Drosophila melanogaster: one gene and its partner. The protein of the gene in region 1 purifies or fractionates together with the protein of each later gene. This does not show direct contact. Each region holds a gene or a part of one and is shown in the gene's direction. Other genes may lie near its edges.

Region 1 (3,924 bases):
CTCGATCCCGTGCCATGGAACTCACCGCACAAACTGAACACACACGCCTGTCCGCCGGAAATGAAGAAGCCCGTCAGGAAGCGGAACACGATCAGCATCCAGATGTTCACCGAGAAAGCGGAAACGATGGAGCACACGGAACTGATGCACAGGGCGTATCGCAATGTGGTTGCCCGACCCCAAGTGTCGGCCAGAAAGCCCATGGCATGTGAGCTCAGTACGACGCCCAGGAATCCGGCCGACGCCAGGATGCCCTGCTGGTTTAGCGTCGGTTGAAGATCGCATTTCATCTGGTTCATGATTAGGCTAACGCCCATAATTTCCACCATCACGCCCATAAAGCACAGTCCACAGATGAGCAGCAACTTGTAGTGGAAGCGGCCCACTCCCGTCAGCGTGATGGCCTCCTCGAAAGTGTGGGGGCGGGGCTTCTCCGACAGGTTCTCCTCGCGGCCCCCCTCCATGTTTGCTATACAGAGAGAAAATGTTTGTTGTGCCATAATTATTGAGAATATTGCTTTTTTGTATGGGTCTATCTAAAAATTTCAAATAACAAATATGTCCTGCATGCATGAGGTATTTATGTATCTTAAAGTTTACTTAACTTTAACTGATTTTGTTTTTTCTCAGTTTACCAATCAAATGGAATCAGTCAATCAGTGTCATTCAAAGTGAAACCCTTGAGTTTATGGAATAATTAAAGTTTTAACCAAGCATTTCGCTTGGCAGGGAATCGCGAGCTCAGTTGGCGTTTAATCATGGCCTCGTCCACTTTGGATTTGGGTGAAAAGCCGGAGGAAAATGATGACGTGCGCCTGCCCAAGGAGCAGCAACCACCAGCCTTCTTCGAATCGAAGACCTTCCGGATAATTTCGATCTTTCTGTATCTGGGCGGGATCAGTGGCCTGGGAATGGTGCTGGCCCTCTACTATCTCATGTTCTTCGACTCCAGCATGCCGGACATTCATCTCAAGTTTCCCGTCTCCATTGGCGGCCATCCAGTGCAGAAGGTGCACGAGTACCAGTGACCATTTGACCACTTGACCCAGCCGGGTGGTAAGTACCAGTACCTTCACAATTGCAGGCAGGGCGGGTTGGAGATGGAGGGCAGACTGCTGCTAATTGGATTTGGGAATGCTAGCAAAGGTGGGCCAAATATGGCCAAGTTGAAATCTCGACTGAAAGATACCCTTGAATATGCAATTATTTTCAAGCTACAAAAGAAGGAAATATTACAAATATTTCAAACAAAACAATTTAAAAACAATTTGGAAATGGAACCATTTAAGGGACGAATAACATGTCTATATGATTCATGAATCAAATAACTCGAATAGTTTTCAAATCTATTCGAAAGTCAAAAATCACTATGAATGAACTAAAATATTCTAGAAGATTTTCAATTCGATTATATCTTATAGACACACTGCCCATCACCATCGTCACTTTCATTTCGCTGGCCAAACATGAATATAGAATCTGCATTTGAACGGAACGGAAAGAATAGGAGGGAAACGTATAGAAGGGGAAAGAATAAAGAATAAAGCGAAGTGGTCTCGGAATCAGGATTGGAGGAGTGACGCCTAACCGGGTCAAGTGGTCGTCGACGGCGTCGAAGAACGCAGCACGTGATGCGGATCCGATTGGAATGGGTTGCGCTCGGTTGGGATACTCAAAGTGCAACTGGCGAATCTTATTAGCGTGGCCGCCAAGACGATGAATCCACGCCCGCTCCTCCCCATCCCTTTGGGTGTCCACGCCATCCAAAAACCCAAAGAAACCGCAAAAAACCGTCGAGCGGAATGCGAAAATCGAGGAAGCACGAACAGCAAAAGAAACACAACCAAAAGACCAGATCCACGGACAGTCGGAGCAATTGCTCAATTGTGTTCAGTTCGTTCGAAGAGGCGGTTACGGTTGCGATTGGCCACCTTTTTCCATATCGCTTGGGTCATTCAGCACATTCTCGAAATAAATAAGAAGCGGCATAATGAGCGGACCGTCGGCACTGATGGCCAATCTGGCCGATGTAGTCAAGGAGGCCAAGGATGAGGAGATCCCGATGCCCAAATCGAATGACTTCTTCGAGTCTAAGACCTTCCGCCTGCTCACCCTGTTGCTCTACATGGGCGGCGTTAGCGGCATGGGCTTGACTCTGGCTGTCTACTACCTGTTCATCTGGGATTCACGCATGCCGCCGCTGCCCGTGTTCAAGCACACGCATCCGATTGGCTAGGATCGGATGGCTATCATTTAGTTAGCCATCCATCTCCCAGCGACATCAGTGACCGGAATTGGGTAAGTGGCCACGTGAAACTGGCATTTGGGGCCATTCGCATTGTGACAGTGCTGTCAGCTCGGCGATTTGTCAATTAAATCGTTGCTACCTAATTAGATTGTCACTTCAATATGCCGCACACAGAAAATATTCACTGATTTTAAATCTTGAGAAACGGCGCGAAAAAGTATGCTACAAAATTTGGCTCTTACGATCATACTATAATCATATCATAAGCAATCATAATCGCACATTAATAATTACTATACCATGTTTTTTATTTATTTAACAATTTCTGTTCAAATGAATCTTCTTCAGAAGGCTTAATGTCTGGAAAAAACAGAATATTTACCTTTATATTTTGCATTAACATTTAAACAAAAGTACTTTAATCCTATTGTGGATGTCTGTGCCGCCGCTGAAGAGATTTTATTCGGCAAAAAGCAGTCAACACTGTTTGTGGGCTTGGTTTAGTGGCTTAATTAGCCCCCGTGGCCGATATCAAAAGTTGACAGCCAGGCACAAAACTAATCCGCTTTGCTACGTGCCAACGAATCGCAGAGTTTGAACCACCAATTTCCATTTGCTCTACACTATCCACACAGCCTGGTGGGTGGAATATGGCGTCATTCGTGTGATTTTGATTTAATCGTGGTAGCGATTCCAAATCAGTAGCTGCCACATCGCGAACTGGACGGACGCGACCAGAAAAGTACATATCCGCAGTAATGTCCACTGCGTCAGAATCCGCCAGGGCGGGCCTGGGCAATGCCGCCAGCATGGCGAATCTTGCCAAGATTGTCAATCTCATCGAATCGAACGTGAAGAGCGAGGATGTGGAGGTGCTTGAGGAAGCGGTCAGGGGATCAACCGGAACCGGAAGTGGCAGCAGCGTCCGCTTGGCCAGCAGCAGTGCCCCGCGTAGAAGTGCCTGTGCCACATCGTATGTCCCCAAGTCACCGCAGCTGGAGGAGATTGTGTTCGCAGAGCCCACGTATACCGAGCGATTTGCCCGATACTTTGTGATCGTGATCTATTTGTGCGGGCTCTGCAGCCTGGGATTCTTTCTGTCCATCTACCACATCTTCTTCTGGGATTCACGCATGCCACCCGTTTACAAGGGCCAGAAGAAGGGGCCTGCCTTCGGCTAGAGCTGCCTGGTTAACACATCCACTTCATTCACCGAAATATTTCCCAACTTAGTGAAATTTCATTTGATTTTTGGTAAGAATCCCGTTCTGGCATATGTGGCGTATGCGTAATATTCGAGGATCACGCTTTTGTTACTCATACGCAATGTTGTCAGAGCATTTTTTGCTTTTACATTTTATTATGAATGGCAAACCTTCTTAGTCTAATTAATTCAAAGCCAATATCTTTCCTGCACACACATTTACTCGAGCCATGCCATTAGTTCTTATTAAGTTGATAAACCGCCCGTCTCGCCCATCGTTTCTTAGCCCAGAAACTTTTCGCCCAACAAAAGTTTAAGTTTAATTATGTGTATCCAACTCTGTATCATGCATGTTGGGGGAATAAGTTTACCCTTATTCGCTTACCAAGGCCCATAGCCCAAGTTATCCCATCGTTCCGGCTGCCCGAGCTGCTTAATCAGCTTTGTCTGCACATAAGTAAGCAGATGGATA
Region 2 (3,924 bases), on another chromosome or scaffold:
TAAATTTAATAAACACTTTTGTAAATGAAACCATTAGGAGATGGTTTGTTATACATATATGTTACCAACAGTTCCGTTCTGAGTCATACGAGAATTTTCCCCGCTCAGTCCGGTAATCCATTTTCAGTTGTGGTTTTGTGGCTTTCCTTATTACCCAGCTCCCCAGGTCCTGTGCAATTTCCATATTATTCCAAATCCGAATCGTTGCCTCAAGTGTTTTGGCGCAGAAAACTGTAATTTTTATTCATTTCCAGGACGCAGTCTGAAGTGCCTGCTAAACGATTATTAGCAATTTGATATAACTGCATGTAAGTACAACACGAGAACAAGTCAACAACGGATTCGCCTGCACACACACACACACACACACACACACAGACACGTGTGGCCACTTACATAAGGACGAGTGGGTGTATGTGTGTGAGTGTGTTTGCCTGTGTGACAGCCAACAGTGGAAAATCACTTCAGTTAACTAAATCCCCGCAACAACCATGCGCCGACTGCGCCGCAGCAGCACGACTTCTGCAGGAGCGGACAGAGAGAGAGAGAGAGAGAAGGAGAGAGAGAAACAGAGAGCGGAACAGCCGAAAAGGACACGGCACAAAGCAGCCATTGCAGGGGCGTGGCCTGCGGCCAGAGAGCCAATCGGAGGGCGAGGTCTTGCGAACAGCGACGTCGGCAGCGGCAGAGGCTGCAAGGGACGAGGAGAGAGCGGGGCGGGGCTGGGGGAAGAGGTGGAAAAGGGGGCGGCAGCGTTAAGCTCATTGCCATATTTTCGCTGTGCTCTCTTTTGAATTTACTTTACTAACAAAACATGACTGTTGGGAGGCAAAAAGGAAATTGTTTTATCAAATGGGTTTCCTTACGCTTTTTTATTATGAAATTAATTTCCAGCATCGTTTCGCAGTCGTTGACGTTCCACTCCCATCGCTCTCACTCCCACTCTCCGTTGGGTTCGCCATTTTCCAGTTTAAACCCCATTTTGCGCCCAGCTCCTTTGAGCATGTGTTTACTCTAGTTTTCCTTTGGAGCTGCCTTAGCCATTCCACTTTCGTTTCATTCCGTTCGGGCAATGTTCGGGAAATGTTTGCATAGTCATATTCTCCCTTCCCTGCCTCCAGTTTCCTTTTTTCATACCGCCTTTCCCCCCGACAAAGGCATTAAAATGCAAATCTTGATTATGAATTTAAGCTCGGCAGACAAATTAAATTTATTTGCCACTCGAAAGATAAAAATCTTGAAAGTTTTATTTGATTACCGCTTGTGTCTGGTTCAGAAGTTCCCCAGCAATCCTTACCAATTCGCATTGAAATTGTTGCCTACTTTTTGGGGCTATATTATTGATACTGAATATATACAGTTCATATTCAATATCATATCATTGTCACCTTACATTTTATATTTATTTACTCTTTATTCTTCGGTATTTTGTGCGCATTTTATTATTGTTTTTTTATTAAGGATATTATATGTTTTAAAAATGTCCCCCACAAATTGTTGTTATTTGCAGTGCCGATATAGAAGCTCTCGCCCAGGTAAAAGTGTGTGAGACATATGTTATTCAGTTGTAAGTGCAATGAAAGAAAAATATAAAATCGATGGGCATTGCTGGTCAACACTTGGTGGGCTTCTCCTGGCGGAGTGTTGAGTTCAGCACGGGCCAAATCGTACCAACAAATTAATAACTTGATAGGGCCAATAAAGGTACATGGGTATCCATTTTCCCCTAGCCTTCACATCCGCGATGGTAACCCATATAATGGCCGTCTTCGGGGAGCTGGGTGTTTTGTGAGTGGTGTCATAACAGACAGTGAAAGTTACTCAATTCATTGGAGGCACCTCCTCCGAATCGATAGCACTGTACTGCAAGGTAATATTTTAATGGGTAATCTCAAGATACGAAACATTTTCATTATTATTAGTAGAATTTTTCTTTTACTCAAGCATTCTTTAGAAGGAAAGTTTGTGAAAGTGTCTTAGCATATATGTATGAACTACATGCATCTGGTACTCTAAGATCAACCCTGCTGACCAGTGTAATCGATACGAAAATCATACTCAAAATAGAATGGCCACTAAGTCAGTTAGCAAGAATGTTCGCCCGCTAATTGTAAAATCAGTTTAGGCGCACTTTTCAATGGACTCAAATCGGGCGCAGCCAACGCGGAATATTCACAAATAATAATTAAGTGAAAACCCATAACAATAAATATTCGATATTACATTTGAGCTTAATTCGGTGCGCTTAATGTCCGGTCAGTGAGTCGCGAGTTTTTGGCTAGGATTACGGAGCAGTCGATCTCAAGCAGCGAGGATGGTTCAGTTCCTGGGCAAACAGGGCACCGCGGGTGGTCAGTGTCCATTGAGTGGTTTCATGACCAACTGCTAATCAAATTTGCAGCTAGTCCCGAAAGAACTTGACCTTCCAAAGGTCACTCAATACTCGTTTTGTGTTTTATGAATCAAATAAAACAAAATTTGAACAAAAGCCAATTCAATTGACTTTATTGATTCTTAAGAATCCTGTGAGAAATATGTTTATGTAATGAACTTAACCTTAACATTTATATAAACGATTATACAATATTGGTGAAAATTATTTTGCGAAAGGATACCAAGTGGGATAAGGACCCCAATAAATATTTATTAGTAATAGCTTCACATTTGTCTTAGTCGTACTTTAACAATACGTTGTAAATAGTTTTTATTTCATTTGGAATGCACAATCCTTTCCCAGAGCTCATTCACATGGTGACCCTGGACAAGACGGGCAAGAAGTCCTTCGGCATCTGCATAGTGCGCGGCGAGGTGAAGGATTCGCCCAACACCAAGACCACCGGCATCTTCATCAAGGGCATTGTGCCCGACAGTCCCGCGCATCTGTGTGGTCGCCTAAAGGTTGGCGATCGGATCCTCTCGCTCAACGGAAAGGATGTGCGCAACTCCACCGAACAGGCGGTCATCGATCTCATCAAGGAGGCGGACTTCAAGATCGAACTGGAGATTCAGACCTTCGACAAGAGCGATGAGCAGCAGGCCAAGTCAGATCCGCGGAGCAATGGCTACATGCAGGCCAAGAACAAGTTCAACCAGGAGCAGACCACCAACAACAATGCGTCCGGAGGTCAGGGAATGGGGCAAGGTCAGGGTCAGGGTCAGGGAATGGCTGGCATGAACCGGCAGCAATCGATGCAGAAGCGGAATACCACATTCACGGCCTCGATGCGTCAGAAGCATAGTAACTACGCCGACGAGGATGACGAGGACACCCGGGACATGACCGGTCGCATTCGCACGGAGGCGGGTTATGAGGTGGGTTAACCCAAGGTCGCCACCCATCGCTCTACTAACTTATAAGTACCTTAGATCGATCGAGCATCCGCCGGTAATTGCAAACTCAACAAGCAGGAAAAGGATCGCGACAAGGAGCAGGAAGATGAATTTGGCTACACGATGGGTAAGACTCAATTGAAGCCATTAAAAAATGTCAGTCACACAGCACGTGAATGCCATTCCCAGCTAAGATCAACAAGCGGTACAACATGATGAAGGATCTGCGCAGGATCGAGGTCCAGAGGGACGCCAGCAAGCCACTGGGACTCGCACTCGCTGGCCACAAGGACCGCCAGAAGATGGCCTGCTTTGTTGCCGGTGTGGATCCCAACGGAGCATTGGGTAGCGTGGACATCAAACCGGGCGACGAGATCGTCGAGGTCAACGGCAATGTGCTGAAGAATCGCTGCCACTTGAACGCTTCCGCCGTGTTCAAGAACGTGGATGGGGATAAGCTCGTGATGATCACCTCGCGACGCAAGCCCAACGATGAGGGCATGTGCGTCAAGCCCATCAAGAAGTTCCCCACCGCGTCTGATGAGGTCCGTACTTTTCACTTCTTTTCGGATGGATCCTGCGATAAAATGTCCT

What was found.
Region 2: the proteins of inaF-B (region 1) and inaD purify together in Drosophila melanogaster (affinity purification with western blotting; one study listed by BioGRID). This does not show direct contact.

What each region holds. Positions count from the first base shown.
Region 1 is NC_004354.4:11,730,729-11,734,652, reverse strand, and holds the start of inaF-B (inaF-B), read left to right. Parts: upstream 1-1,882; 5' UTR 1,883-1,990; coding exon 1,991-2,236; 3' UTR 2,237-2,298; intron 2,299-2,887; exon of another isoform or gene 2,888-3,006; coding exon of another isoform or gene 3,007-3,429; exon of another isoform or gene 3,430-3,502; intron 3,503-3,924. Other genes in the region: inaF-A, read left to right, coding at 759-1,028; inaF-C, read left to right, coding at 3,007-3,429; CG15221 (uncharacterized protein), read right to left, coding at 1-469.
Region 2 is NT_033778.4:22,856,989-22,860,912, reverse strand, and holds the start of inaD (inactivation no afterpotential D), read left to right. Parts: upstream 1-2,118; 5' UTR 2,119-2,314; coding exon 2,315-2,351; intron 2,352-2,701; coding exon 2,702-3,312; intron 3,313-3,366; coding exon 3,367-3,457; intron 3,458-3,519; coding exon 3,520-3,875; intron 3,876-3,924. UniProt on the Drosophila melanogaster protein: Involved in the negative feedback regulation of the light-activated signaling cascade in photoreceptors through a calcium-mediated process.